Linked DNA regions of Rattus norvegicus. The protein of the gene in region 1 interacts with the protein of each later gene in a pairwise test. Links are inferred from orthologs where the notes say so. Each region holds a gene or a part of one and is shown on either strand. Other genes may lie near its edges.

Region 1 (3,587 bases):
ATAGGAAGTGTGGTGTAGTGGGCGGAGAGGCAAACATACTCTATGAAGGCAAGTCGCGTTACTCTGATGCAATGCCAGGAGTACAGATGGGCTCTTAGCAATTAAAACAGGCCCGATACATGCTCAGAGAATCCTGAATGGCCACACTAAGGCAGGCAAGTGGAAATGCAGGACAGTAATTGGCACCCTTCAGATGGGCACAGAGGAAGGGATCAGCGCCTGCTGTTAACGAGGGACACGCCTCCTTTGTACTTACGGTCAGTGGGTCAAGTCTCCATCTCACTGAGTCCTAGTGCAGTCCTGGGGGCCCTTAGCGTTGTAATAAAAGCCATAGAAGTGATGGTCTTGGGCAGAGTGTGGTGGTCCTCACATCTAATCCTGTCACTTTGGAGGGGAAGGCTGGCACTTGAGGTCAGCCCGGTCTACACAGTGTGTTTTAGGCCAGCCAGAACTACACAGCGGACCCTTGTCTCAAAACAACGCCCTCAGACAAGAAGAGAAAGGTAGCCTTGACCAACTTTACACTTTAAGAATTTATCCGCAGGAACTTCTCAGGTGCATGCAAGATGATTGGCGTTCAAGGAAATTAATAATTGATAACAGGAGAAGCTGGGAGTAGTGTGTATATTCCAACAAAGGAGATTGGATAAGTAAGCTCAGATAATTCATAGACTGGAATACTACACAGGTACCAGAAATTTTTTCCTTTAATACTTCTGTGCATTGGTGTTTGCCTGCGTATATATCTATGTGAAGATATGTCAGATCCCCTGGAACTGGAGTTACAGGCGGTTGTGACATACCACGTGGTGGCTGGGAATTGAACTCAGGACCTCTGAAAGAGCAGCCCGTGCTCTTAACCGCTGAGCCATCTCCTTAGCCTGGAAATGTGATGTTTTTGTTCTCCAGGCTGTACATCCACTCAGGCAAAGCTAGACTCTTGACTAACGAGGAAAAGAATGGTTGGATGAGTCAGAGCGAACCCAAGTTAGTGCATTTTCTAAGCACATTTAGGGAGAGTAGGTTTTGAGAGGGGAGATGTGTACATCTGGGCTTTTGAGGTTACATTGTTTAAAGCATGTAACTTCCAAGAAAGTTTAGAGACTAAGCAGTTTAAAAATTAAGTGGTGTTAAAAAAAGACTTGAGCTGCATTACGCAGGTGGCGCTACGAGGCCCCCACACTGCTTATAGTTAGGGTTGGCAGAAATGCGTTAATGTGGTAAAATTTAAAGGCCATAACCATTCGGGTCCTAAGGAAGCATGGTTTGCTGGTTTTAGTGTCCTTGTTTAAGGTATCGTGAAGAAGATACACATTATCTCTCAGGTAGTTTTGATTTTGTTGGTTGTATTGAAGTCACTGGTTTTTAAAAAATCTTTCATTTTTTTATTTTATGTGTATGTTTTGCTTGTATGTGTGCATGTTTGTGTGCAGTCCCTGCAGAGGCTAGAAGGTGTCAGACCTCTTGGGACTGGAGTTTCAGATGATTGTGGGTGCCAAGTGGATTGAACTTGAATCCTCTGGGAGAACAGCCAGGACTCGCTTAATCACCCAGCCGTCACTTCCACCCCCAGTATGTCTTTAAGGCGTGTTTACTCTGATAGACGGTGGCTATAGGGCACAGGCCATAGACTCGCAAAGTCTCAGCCAGGCTGCTTGAGCTCTGTTTGCAGTAGGGTGGAGGATTATAGCAGTTTCCAGCACCTTCCGTAGGCTCTTGCTCTATCTGCCTGGTGCCTTAGGTCTGAAGAGACCCCTGGAGTCCGACAAGCTGTGGTATCTCTGTCACTAGTTGAGTGTCACTCTTGGGAAGCAAGCTGATAAAGCTGAGGGCCAGCACCCACTTCTTCCTGCTCCCGTAGACATTTTCTCTAAGTCACCCTGTCTCGGAGATACAGAGGTAGACCAAAGGTGAGAACGCTCGGTGGTTCAGATTGTTTGAATAACAAATACTTTCTCATTTGAATGTCTGAAGCAATCGAGAGAGAGAGAGAGAGAGAGAGAGAGAGAGAGAGAGAGAGAGAGAGAGAGAGAGGCACGTACACGGACAACAAAGCTCAGAGAGAGAGAGATGTGTACACGGACAACAAAGCTCAGAGAGAGAGAGAGAGAGAGAGAGAGAGAGAGAGAGAGAGAGAGAGAGGCAGAGGCGCGTACACGGACAACAAAGCTCAGAGAGAGAGAGAGAGATGTGTACACGGTGTACACGGACAACAAAGCTCAGAGAGAGAGAGAGAGAGAGAGAGAGAGAGAGAGAGAGAGAGGCACGTACACGGACAACAAAGCTCAGAGAGAGAGAGAGAGATGTGTACACGGACAACAAAGCTCAGAGAGAGAGAGAGAGAGAGAGAGGGGCACGTACACGGACAACAAAGCTCAGAGAGAGAGAGAGAGATGTGTACACGGACAACAAAGCTCAGAGAGAGAGAGAGAGAGAGAGAGAGAGAGAGAGAGAGGCGCGTACACGGACAACAAAGCTCAGAGAGAGAGAGAGAGAGAGAGAGGGAGAGAGAGAGAGGCAGAGGCGCGTACACGGACAACAAAGCTCAGAGAGAGAGAGAGAGATGTGTACACGGACAACAAAGCTCAGAGAGAGAGAGAGAGAGAGAGGCAGAGGCGCGTACACGGACAACAAAGCTCAGAGAGAGAGAGAGAGATGTGTACACGGACAACAAAGCTCAGAGAGAGAGAGAGAGAGAGAGAGAGAGAGAGAGAGAGAGAGGCGCGTACACGGACAACAAAGCTCAGAGAGAGAGAGAGAGATGTGTACACGGACAACAAAGCTCAGAGAGAGAGAGAGAGAGAGAGAGAGAGAGAGAGAGGCGCGTACACGGACAACAAAGCTCAGAGAGAGAGAGAGAGAGAGAGAGAGAGGCGCTCACAGTGTTGTCTTTCTGTCTGTCCCTGGCGGTGGTAGGAGGAAGACCCTGTGGACTATGGCTGTGAGATGCAGCTCCTTCAGGACGGGGCACAGTTGCAGCTGCAGCTGCAGCCCGAGGAGTTCGTAGCCATTGCAGATTACACCGCCACCGACGAGACACAGGTACCTGTGTTTGCTCCTCATACCTTGACTGAAGGAATCTCAGAATACCTCGCAGCGGAATTCAGGAATTCACGTTCACAAGATTAAACGAGACCCGCGCATGACTGTTCACCTCTTATCCTAACACACTGCCCTATCTGGTGGGTATAGAGATGCCCTTCAGGAAAACACCTCCCTGCTCGGAGAACTTGGTATAGAACCCTCCTGGTCCCAGAACAGCGAGGCTATCAAACCGTCCTATGCTCTTGAGTCTGGTAGGAACACGTCTGTGGAGTCTCCTAACTGAATCAGACACACATAGCTAGCTGCCTGCCTTTGATTTTAAAAGCGTTAGGTAAAGGCTGGCAAGATAGCTCAGTGGGTATTGGCTGACAGCCTGAGTTGGATCCCTGGAGCCTTCATGGTAGAGAGAACACTCTGGCCTCAGTACACATACTGTGGCAAATGTATGTACATGTACACACACGCACTCACGCACTCACACACACACACGTACGCACGCACACAGGCGAGTACACAGAATTTTAAGAAAAGAATGTGGATGA
Region 2 (4,308 bases), on another chromosome or scaffold:
ACAGTAAACCTTCTTTCTGTTTCTTGTATCAAGGGCCAAAAAGATATGGTGCACCATACAACAGATGGAAGGAAAGACGAACAAGCTACGTAGTCAAATAACACAGCAGCATGTGGTCTAAAAGAGAGTTAGCTCTACTCTAGTCCCCTCCCCCACCCCCCAATCCTGCTGACCTACATTCTGCCTCTTGCTCTATTCCAAATACAGTTTGGTGCCTGGAACTCCTAGGTCTCTGCTTCTTTGCCTGTTCCTAATCTCCTTGCCAAGTGCCCCAATCCAGAAACTTCTCCATGTAGGGATCTATTTTTTTTTAACCACCTGATATAACACCTCCTCCCCTTTAATCACTTGGCTTCAGGTCTTTTTCAGCTACTATTATTTTTAAATCATTATCAATAAGATGGTCTGCATTCTATGTGTCGCTCTTCCATTAGAATAAAATCTTCGTGAAAGAAAGATTTTTTTTTTTTTTTTTTTTTTTTTTTTTTTTACTGCCCAACCTATATAGTCTTGAAGAGTTTCTGACACTGGGCAGACTTTCATACGCGTTGGTTGAATACAGGGAGGATTTTACAGAGGAGATTGTACTTAAAAGTTGAAACAATACGAGAATTTCCTACAGGGGAACAGGGCATAGCAAACAAGAGTGAGCGCAAAACTAAGAATTAAAACCCACACGATCTAGTCAGAAGGTCGGCTCTCCCCCATCAATCACTAATTAAGAAAACGCCCTGCAAGTTTGTCTACAGCTTGATATTATGGAGGCATTTTTTCAACTGAGGTTCCCTCCACTCAGATGACCAGTTTGAGTTACATTAACATAAATAAAACTTTCAGGCCACAGAGTCTCCCAATGTAGCCTGAAACTCACTAAGTAGTCCAGGTAACCTGTCTCTGCCTACCAAGTGCTGGAATTAAAGGCATACTCCACTATGCCGGACACTAATAATTTTTTAAACAAAGAGAATGCATCCTGTATATATTAATTTTTTCTTTTGTTGGTTGTTAAAATTCGGACGAATTGACAAGTATGATTGTGGGTCAAGCAAACACGTGCGGGATGATGGCCTTCCGGATTTTAAAACGAACAAATAGTGGAGGGAGAAAAGCAAGGACAGAAAAGAACAATGGTGTAGCAAAGGGAACTTGGGATTGGAAGGAAGGTTGGGGGAAGGGAACTTCAAAGAACACCAGAAGGCAGAGAGAAAGCTACTGCGAGAAGCAAAGCTGGAATCCTAGGGGTGGGGTGGGAGGGGGAGGAGCCAGTGCGCGGCGCCTGCGCAGCGAGAGGCCCAGGTGCTTGCCGCCGCGGAAGCGAATCCACCTAGAGACGCCGCGCCGCTTGGATACTGCTGCGCATGCGCAGGCGGACCAGTTGCTGAATATTCACGGTCGCCGCCTCCGCCGAGGTCGACCCTGGATTTGAGTCTCGCGCTCTCTTCGTTCGCTTACCAGCGGGTTCCCTCCCCTTCTCGCGCCCTGAGACGGCGAGGCTGGGGAAGGGGTTGAAAGGGGCTGTTGATCGTCGCCTTTAACTTGTTCGAGGGGCGGCCATGTCGGCCGGCGAGGTGGAGCGTCTGGTGGAGCTGAGCGGCGGGACCGGAGGGGATGAGGAGGAAGAGTGGCTGTATGGCGGTACGGAACTTCCTGTCTGTCTCCCGGGTTCTCTCTGGCCTTCCTCCCGGCGTTTCAGGCCCGGGCGTCCGAGGCCTCTCGTACTAGCCCTGGCAGGCCTGCGTTAGGCCGAGTGCGGCCTGCTCCGGGCCCTCGCCCGGACCCGCAGGCACTCACCGCGCGGTGGACGCGGGCCAAGGAGGCCGGGCAGCCCTGCTTCGCCCTCCTCCCCACCGTCCCGGCCTCCTCGCTTCTGCGCTCTCTATTCATGCTCTTTCTATCGATCCTGAGCTGCTTCGGTGTCTCTTGCTATTGGGTGCTCCTCCTCGTCCCTTTCTTTCAGAAACAGTCATTCTGTAATAACAGCTAAATAAAGTCAATGCTATTAAACTAATGTCTTGTTTCTTGATGGTCAGTTTGTATGGAATGCACCTGCAAGGGTACCTCCTTGTCTGAAAGTCGTGCTTTAAAAATATTAATTAAGAGAGACAGAGGTGGAGAATACACTATGGTCAACCCTGAGTTGTCTCCTGTATTAAGGTGAAGTTTTTATTTATTTATTTTTTTAGAGACTGCTCTATAGTCCACGTCATAGTTGTACCTCGTGACTCTTCCCGTAGGCTTGTATTCAGTGTTTTGTATTTGTGTCCCCAAATTGAATGCATCATGTACTTTGTTTTTGTAGAGGACATGTTTGATGTTTAAGTCGTAATCCGCCTTGGCTCTTTGTTACACCAGATTTGAAAGTATTTTGTTATTTCCCAGAACATACATTCTTGACATAAATTGTCATAGATTACATAAAAGTGAACGTTGGAGTCTAAGCAGCCTTTTAGTGATGTAACTCCGATCAAATTGTAAAGTCGATTATGTCTTTAATAATGGAAAGACAGCATTGGTACTACCCTTAAAACGTGAAAGTGTGAGGTTTCTTTTACGATGATGTGTAAATCCTCATCGCCTCTTAAATTAAGTTTACATTAATAGCAGTAAAGTCGTGTTTTTTTTTTTTTTCCATAAGAGATGTGTCTTGTTTATAAAGTGATCTAACTTTGGCTATGCTCGCAGGCCCGTGGGACGTGCATGTGCACAGTGATTTGGCAAAGGATCTAGGTTAGTGCTCATGCTCTTCCCTTCAGATTTTTCTACTTGTTGCTTAAGCTTGGTTTCCTCATTTACTTTATTTTATTTTATTTGGTAGATGAAAATGAAGTTGAAAGGCCAGAAGAAGAAAATGCCAGGTTGGTGAACTCTCCTGTTGATGCCCTACACAGATGGTGATTCTAGGATGCCGTCAGTAGTTTTATTATAATCCTTGGTGGGATTGCATTTTGACCAAAGGTTAAAGGACCTTTCCTATTTCAGGATCAATTCTGTCTTGCTTTCTAGCAGCTTATAGGACGGTTCTTGGAGTTAGGTATTTATTTGCCAACCTCTCCCCCTTGAGTAACTTTCACCCTTAACTGGGCTTAGCAGTATATACAGTGGAGTTGGGTTTTTGTTTTGTTTTTCAAGACAAAGTTCTCAGTGTAGTGTGTCTACCCCTGGCTGTTCTGGAACTCACTTTGTAGACCAGGCTGGCCTTGAACTCAGAGATCCACCTGCCTCTGCCTCCCAAGTGCTGGGATTAAAGGCAGAGCAACTACGCCTGGCTGAATATGGTTGTTAAATTACTAAGAAAAAAAATAATTTTCTGTAAGAAATAAAATAACTGAAAGTTGTTGCTTTCATAATTTATTAGTGTTTTTATAGTATCCTTTACTTTTGGTATAGTTTTTTTTTTTCTTTTCTTAGAAACAGGCTCTTAGTGACAGGCCTGGAATTCCCTTTGTAGACTAGGCTGGCCTTGAACTCAAAGACATCTGTCTGTCTCTAGAGTGCTGAGATTAAAGGCATGTGCCACAGTGCCTATGCTTGGCGTGGCTTTAGTGCTTTGTATTTTAAATTCATAATGGAACTAGTTTTTTGGAAGGAAACTATGCTTACTACTATACCATGAACAGAATAGATTTTTTTAAGTTGGTTGTTATTATGCAAAACAGTATTTTTACAGTGTCCAGGGAGCCAAACATTCACTCAAAATTCCACAACTAATGCATATAAGCACATGGCTAAATTGGCTTGCGTTTGATCAGGTGACTGTCTGAAATAATGAGGGAGGAGTGGTCTTAGAGCAATTAAGGGCTGGAGAAATGGCTCAGTTGGGGACATGCATGTGGCATAAGCATGTGGACATGAATGACTACATCCTAGGAGAGATTAGACAGGATGATCTCTAGTACTCACTAGTTCCTCTATACTGTTAAACTCCAGGTTCAATCCGAGACTGTCTCAGAAAAGAAAGAAGAAGAGGGATTGGGAAGATACCTGATGTCTCTGGCTTCCACATGTATTATATATACAAAACATTTAAAGAATATTAAGATTTTCAAAGTGGAGGGGTTAATGCTTCATACCAAGCATGATAGCTATAAACCAAAAGGCAAAAGAGCTATAATGAAGATATGGAGAACCTGGACTGTTTGTACACTGCTGCTGCTATTGTAAAGCGGTGTCTCCTCTTGGGAGCTTCCTCAAATGTTTAAACAGTTAATAATTAATTAAGCAGTCCTACTCACTTTAAATCAGAGAAGTGGAAGCTCACATGAACACAAGTATTTGAACATTACTGTTCTTAGCATCAGTCATAGCTAG
Region 3 (4,367 bases), on another chromosome or scaffold:
AACACTCCTGGGGAAGAATAATGTCTCATGTGAAAAGCTTAGAAGCAGGACACAGCAGAAACAAAGAGAGAACATTATGAACTTAGGATGGACAGCATACAGCTCTGCCCCTGGGGTAAGCCTGCTGATGGGTGCCTCCAGAGCCTTGCTAGAAGCTGTGCCAGGAGCAGCGAGGCAGAACCACAGGGAAGGAGACTGTTCTGCCACTTGTTAACTGGATTCTTTCTCAGAGGACAAATACATCTGGGCACAAACCAGGTGCAGCCCAAAGGGAGGAAAGCAAGAAGTCATGTGGCTTGCTATATACAGTATCTGTTTACCAAGAATGAAGTACTCAGAGGGAACCTGAAGGAGGGCTTAGAGGATTTTGCTGGGGTATAGGGGATGACAATGATGTTAAGGGATAGAGTATCTCCTTAACTGGAATATAAGGCCTCTTCAAACTATTCTGTTTCCTTCAGTCTCAAGACAATGTCTTCCCCAAGAAAGCCGGTATCTTTCCCCTAACGGGATAGGCTGGCCTAGAAAGGGTATGATGCTGGGTCCTTTTCCACTCCCTACCACATTACCCTAATGACAGGCAACCTTGGTATGAAGCCCTTTAGACACACAATCTCATGACTATCAACTCTAGGAGGATAATCTTACCATCCCACTGTACATGGACACCAGGTTCAGAGGGGGAATGATTTGCTTAATTCAAAGTTTGCCTGAGTCTACAGTTGTTCTGAAGCATCCAACTCGCTTTCCCAAGACTCTTCTGCTAAAAGCAAGGTTAAGAGCAGCATCCTCTCGGCTCTTTCACAAGTCTATTTGCCAGGCTCCTCAGCTCTGGATAAATTCACAAGCCACGCCTCCCTTCTTAGCAGGGAATTGTCTGTGGAAGACTTGCCAGCACATGGGTAATCCCTAACACCACAACCATCTATATCTAAGGTGGCCCCTCCACAGGATCCCACTCCTTATGAACAAGTGAGTACCAGATGCCAATCCCAAGTCTCTTTTGAAGACTCATTTTTTAACTCTTTTTGCTGTTTAGTCCCAAGCCCTACAGTGCCTTCTCAGAAAAACACCCTAAGTTTTGGATGCCACAGTGTCTAGTTCCAGGTTTCCTCTCATATCAGGGTTTTCTGTACTGCCCTTTCATGCCAATCCTACCTCTTATACAGACACTTTGAGCTGATCAAGTTCCCCCAAATCTCCTGAGCATCCCATCTCCCTGGGCACACAAGTAACTATTTCTGGGGACTCGGGAGCCCTCTCCTGGAAAGGAATACTCCCTCGGCTTCATCATGAGGCCCCCAGCCAAAGCAACAGGTTTCCTTTCTTTTTAATCCTCTCTGCTTCCTCCCCCACATCTGCTAGACCAGCTACATGATCTCTGGCAGACAAGGGTCCTCTGCCCACCACACAGTTCATGCACTTGCTACTCCTGCTTTGAAAACTATCTATAGTTAACAATGCAAGGCCATTCAGCAGAAACCAGAGTATTGTCCCAAGAGTTTTCCCAATTCTGGACCCTCTAGCTTCTTTGTCCATTAAATACTCTGTCCTTTCTTGTCACCATTTAGATCCCAAAGCTCTCGTGCCTCCTCTGGACACCTGGGTCTCCAGGTACCAAATATACAAGTTGTATCTGCCCTCGAGGTTGACCCTGTAACTGAAAATATACGAGTAGCAGGTAGAGGTTTCCAAATCTTCTGCTGGTCTTTCATTATTCCCTAAATGCTCACCTGCAAAACACTGGAGCGTTCAGTTCATGTTTTGGGGGACTCTTCCCAGCCGGGGACACCAGTAAGTCCAAAGCACCAATCCACCCCCAGCACTAAGCAGATCTCCCACCCGTGAGGAAAATCATAGATCTTCTATCCTTAAAATTCTTCCAGTCCTGCACCCTTGGCCATTCTTCCACTACCTGAAAATCCGGCTTTTGAGACCCAGACCCAGATCAAGTGGTGGATTAGCACGGCTACCCAAGCTGTCAGCTCAAAGCTCAGCTAGAATCTTCCATTTTCCAAGAAGTCAACCCCCGACACCCCTTTCTCTAAAGCATCTAGTTCTTCTGACTTTTCCCAACTCAAAAACAGAATCCCAAAACTGTTTCCGGTCTTCGAATCCCAGGATATAAAGTCCTCCGGGGTCCTCCCGCTCGTACCCTAGTCGTCTTAAAACAAAATCCACCCCCCACCCCTACACACACACACAGACACAACACACACGATTTCCCTTGCACCGAAGGCCAGGATCCGCCCTCAGGCTGCCCCGAGGCCCTGGCCGCAGACCCTTTACAGCGGCAGGTGCCGGGATCCCTGGATCCTCAGACCATCTCCTGGATCTCTGTGGAGTCAAGCTCCCGCGTCCCACATCCCGTCCTCGGCCCGGACTCCAGGCTCCCCGGTCCCCCGCCCCGCGCACTCTCACAATGTCCGTCCGGCCCCGAGTAGCCGCCGGGCTCCGGGTGCGGCTGCAGCCCGGGCGGCGGTGGCTGCGCGGTCCCCTCCAGCTCGGAGCCCCCCTCGGTCTCGACCTCCTCGTTGTTGTGCCCAGGTAACCCCGGTTCGTCGTCAGCCTCGAGCTCCCGTTCGTCTTCGGGCTCCTCGGCCTCTAGCGCCGCCAGCAACCGCTCAGCAAGCTCGGCCTTCAGGCCGCGAGTGTCCAGGCCGCGGCGCTGCAGCTCCTCGCGAAGTTCGTTCACCTTCAGGCGACGCACATCCATGGCCCGGGCCCCCGGGGCGGCCCCCGAGCCCGGCCCGGCCTCCCAGGGCTCTGTCCCCCCTAAACCTTGCCTGTCAGGAGGCGAAGGGGGAGAAGGGGGGGGCCACTCCAATGGCGGCGGCGCTCAAAATGGCCGCCGCCGCCTCCTCCCCCTTGCCCGTACAGTACGACGTAAAACGAGTCTCAATTGGTCAGCGCATGGGGCAACGGGCGCGGGCCCGAGAACCAAGCCAATCACAGTGTGGCTTTCAAAGAACGGTAGTAAGAGGGCTCAGGAGCTGCCTAAGAGGAAGCGTTAGCCTACGTTGAAGTCGCGGCCAAAGCGGAGGGCGGGAAAAGGCAAGAGGCGGAGCAAGCACTGATTGGGTAGCGTCCGCGCGCCAGCTGCGGTACAGTCAAATGAAGGAAAGGGAGCAACGACTTGGAGCAATTAGCAATGAGCTCTCAGAATGGCCGTCCAGTCTCTCTCCGAGCCGTCCTTCCCTCAGACTCTGTAAAACACATTCTAACTGGTCTTCATCTCACGCCCCTCGCGGAGGCCAAGCGGGTAAAATCACTACAACCAATCAAATGCGGCGGAAAGAGGTCGGCCAACCCTCGTCTTTCCTGTTGCCTTTCTGAAACCGGAAGTAGATTAATTCACCGAAGGCCCGCCCCTTGCCGTTAGGGCGGTTTCAAAACAACTTATTCGCCAATCGCAGTTACTGTTATATTTCACCCATAGCTATAGCTTGATCGCTTTAGGAAAAGCTAAATAGATTGGCCATTCTTGAGGCTTGCCTCGCAAAGTTCTCTGTACAGCAAGTCATAAAACGGAATAAAAATTAAGTGGATATGTTACACATCGTTTGTAGAAACCCGGTTGCCTTTATGAGAAACAATAACAACAAAAATTGGTTCTGGAGAGCGCTGAAGGGTTGAAAACAGGGGCTAGGCTAACAGCAAGAGAAAAGTTGTGCGGTAAATCGCATCCCTCCTTTTGATAGCACATCCTCCTAGGGCACGTTCTCTATGGTTGCTAGACAAGCCACTCTGCACACGACCATAGAGCCTTCCCGCTCTGGATACAAGCTGCAGGAAGTTCGAGGCTTTCCATCTCGAATCCTCTAAACCGTTCGCTCAGTCTTGCTGTGTCAACACTGACCAATTCGCACACTAGCATCCGTAATTACGACAGGTGTTGTTAATCCATACGCCTATCGCCCCTTGCTCAGAAGACAAAAACTTAGTGAAATAACACCGAGACGCACAATGCAAATGTGCATTGACACCCAAGCCATAGCCTTAACGCCCAATAAAAGCCACAAACACTCTCTACTTAGATATAGTTAAGCATCCCACAATAAACGAATAGGCGTGACAGGCCAAAAGTATCAATTCAGGATAAGACTTCAAACGGCAGTGTAGGTGTGGCACAAGCATGCAGCGTCGCGCGACAAAGCTCCGCTAGGACAGTTCACGCTACAAGCTTACACCACAGCAACCTAGACACGCGGCACCCACTCAGCAGCGGGACAGACACTCACGTGGACCCGAGGTTCCAGTCCAGACACCCCGCCCCTCGCCCACGTTGGACTTCCTCTCTCCTCCCAGCTGCCCACAATGATTTATTAAAAAAAGAAGAAGAGGAAAAAAAAAAAAAAAAAAAACTT

What was found.
Region 2: the proteins of Prmt2 (region 1) and Fip1l1 interact in a two-hybrid assay, tested with the Homo sapiens proteins (2 studies listed by BioGRID and IntAct). The link is inferred for Rattus norvegicus from reciprocal best matches to the Homo sapiens genes PRMT2 and FIP1L1.
Region 3: the proteins of Prmt2 (region 1) and Hnrnpul1 interact in a two-hybrid assay, tested with the Homo sapiens proteins (2 studies listed by BioGRID and IntAct). The link is inferred for Rattus norvegicus from reciprocal best matches to the Homo sapiens genes PRMT2 and HNRNPUL1.

What each region holds. Positions count from the first base shown.
Region 1 is NC_086038.1:12,400,729-12,404,315, forward strand, and holds part of Prmt2 (protein arginine N-methyltransferase 2), read left to right. Parts: intron 1-2,916; coding exon 2,917-3,042; intron 3,043-3,587. UniProt on the Homo sapiens protein: Arginine methyltransferase that methylates the guanidino nitrogens of arginyl residues in proteins such as STAT3, FBL, histone H4. Acts as a coactivator (with NCOA2) of the androgen receptor (AR)-mediated transactivation.
Region 2 is NC_086032.1:34,026,872-34,031,179, reverse strand, and holds the start of Fip1l1 (pre-mRNA 3'-end-processing factor FIP1), read left to right. Parts: upstream 1-1,426; 5' UTR 1,427-1,553; coding exon 1,554-1,635; intron 1,636-2,682; coding exon 2,683-2,727; intron 2,728-2,815; coding exon 2,816-2,855; intron 2,856-4,308.
Region 3 is NC_086019.1:90,387,566-90,391,932, forward strand, and holds the start of Hnrnpul1 (heterogeneous nuclear ribonucleoprotein U-like protein 1), read right to left. Parts: upstream 2,806-4,367; 5' UTR 2,717-2,805; coding exon 2,422-2,716; intron 1-2,421.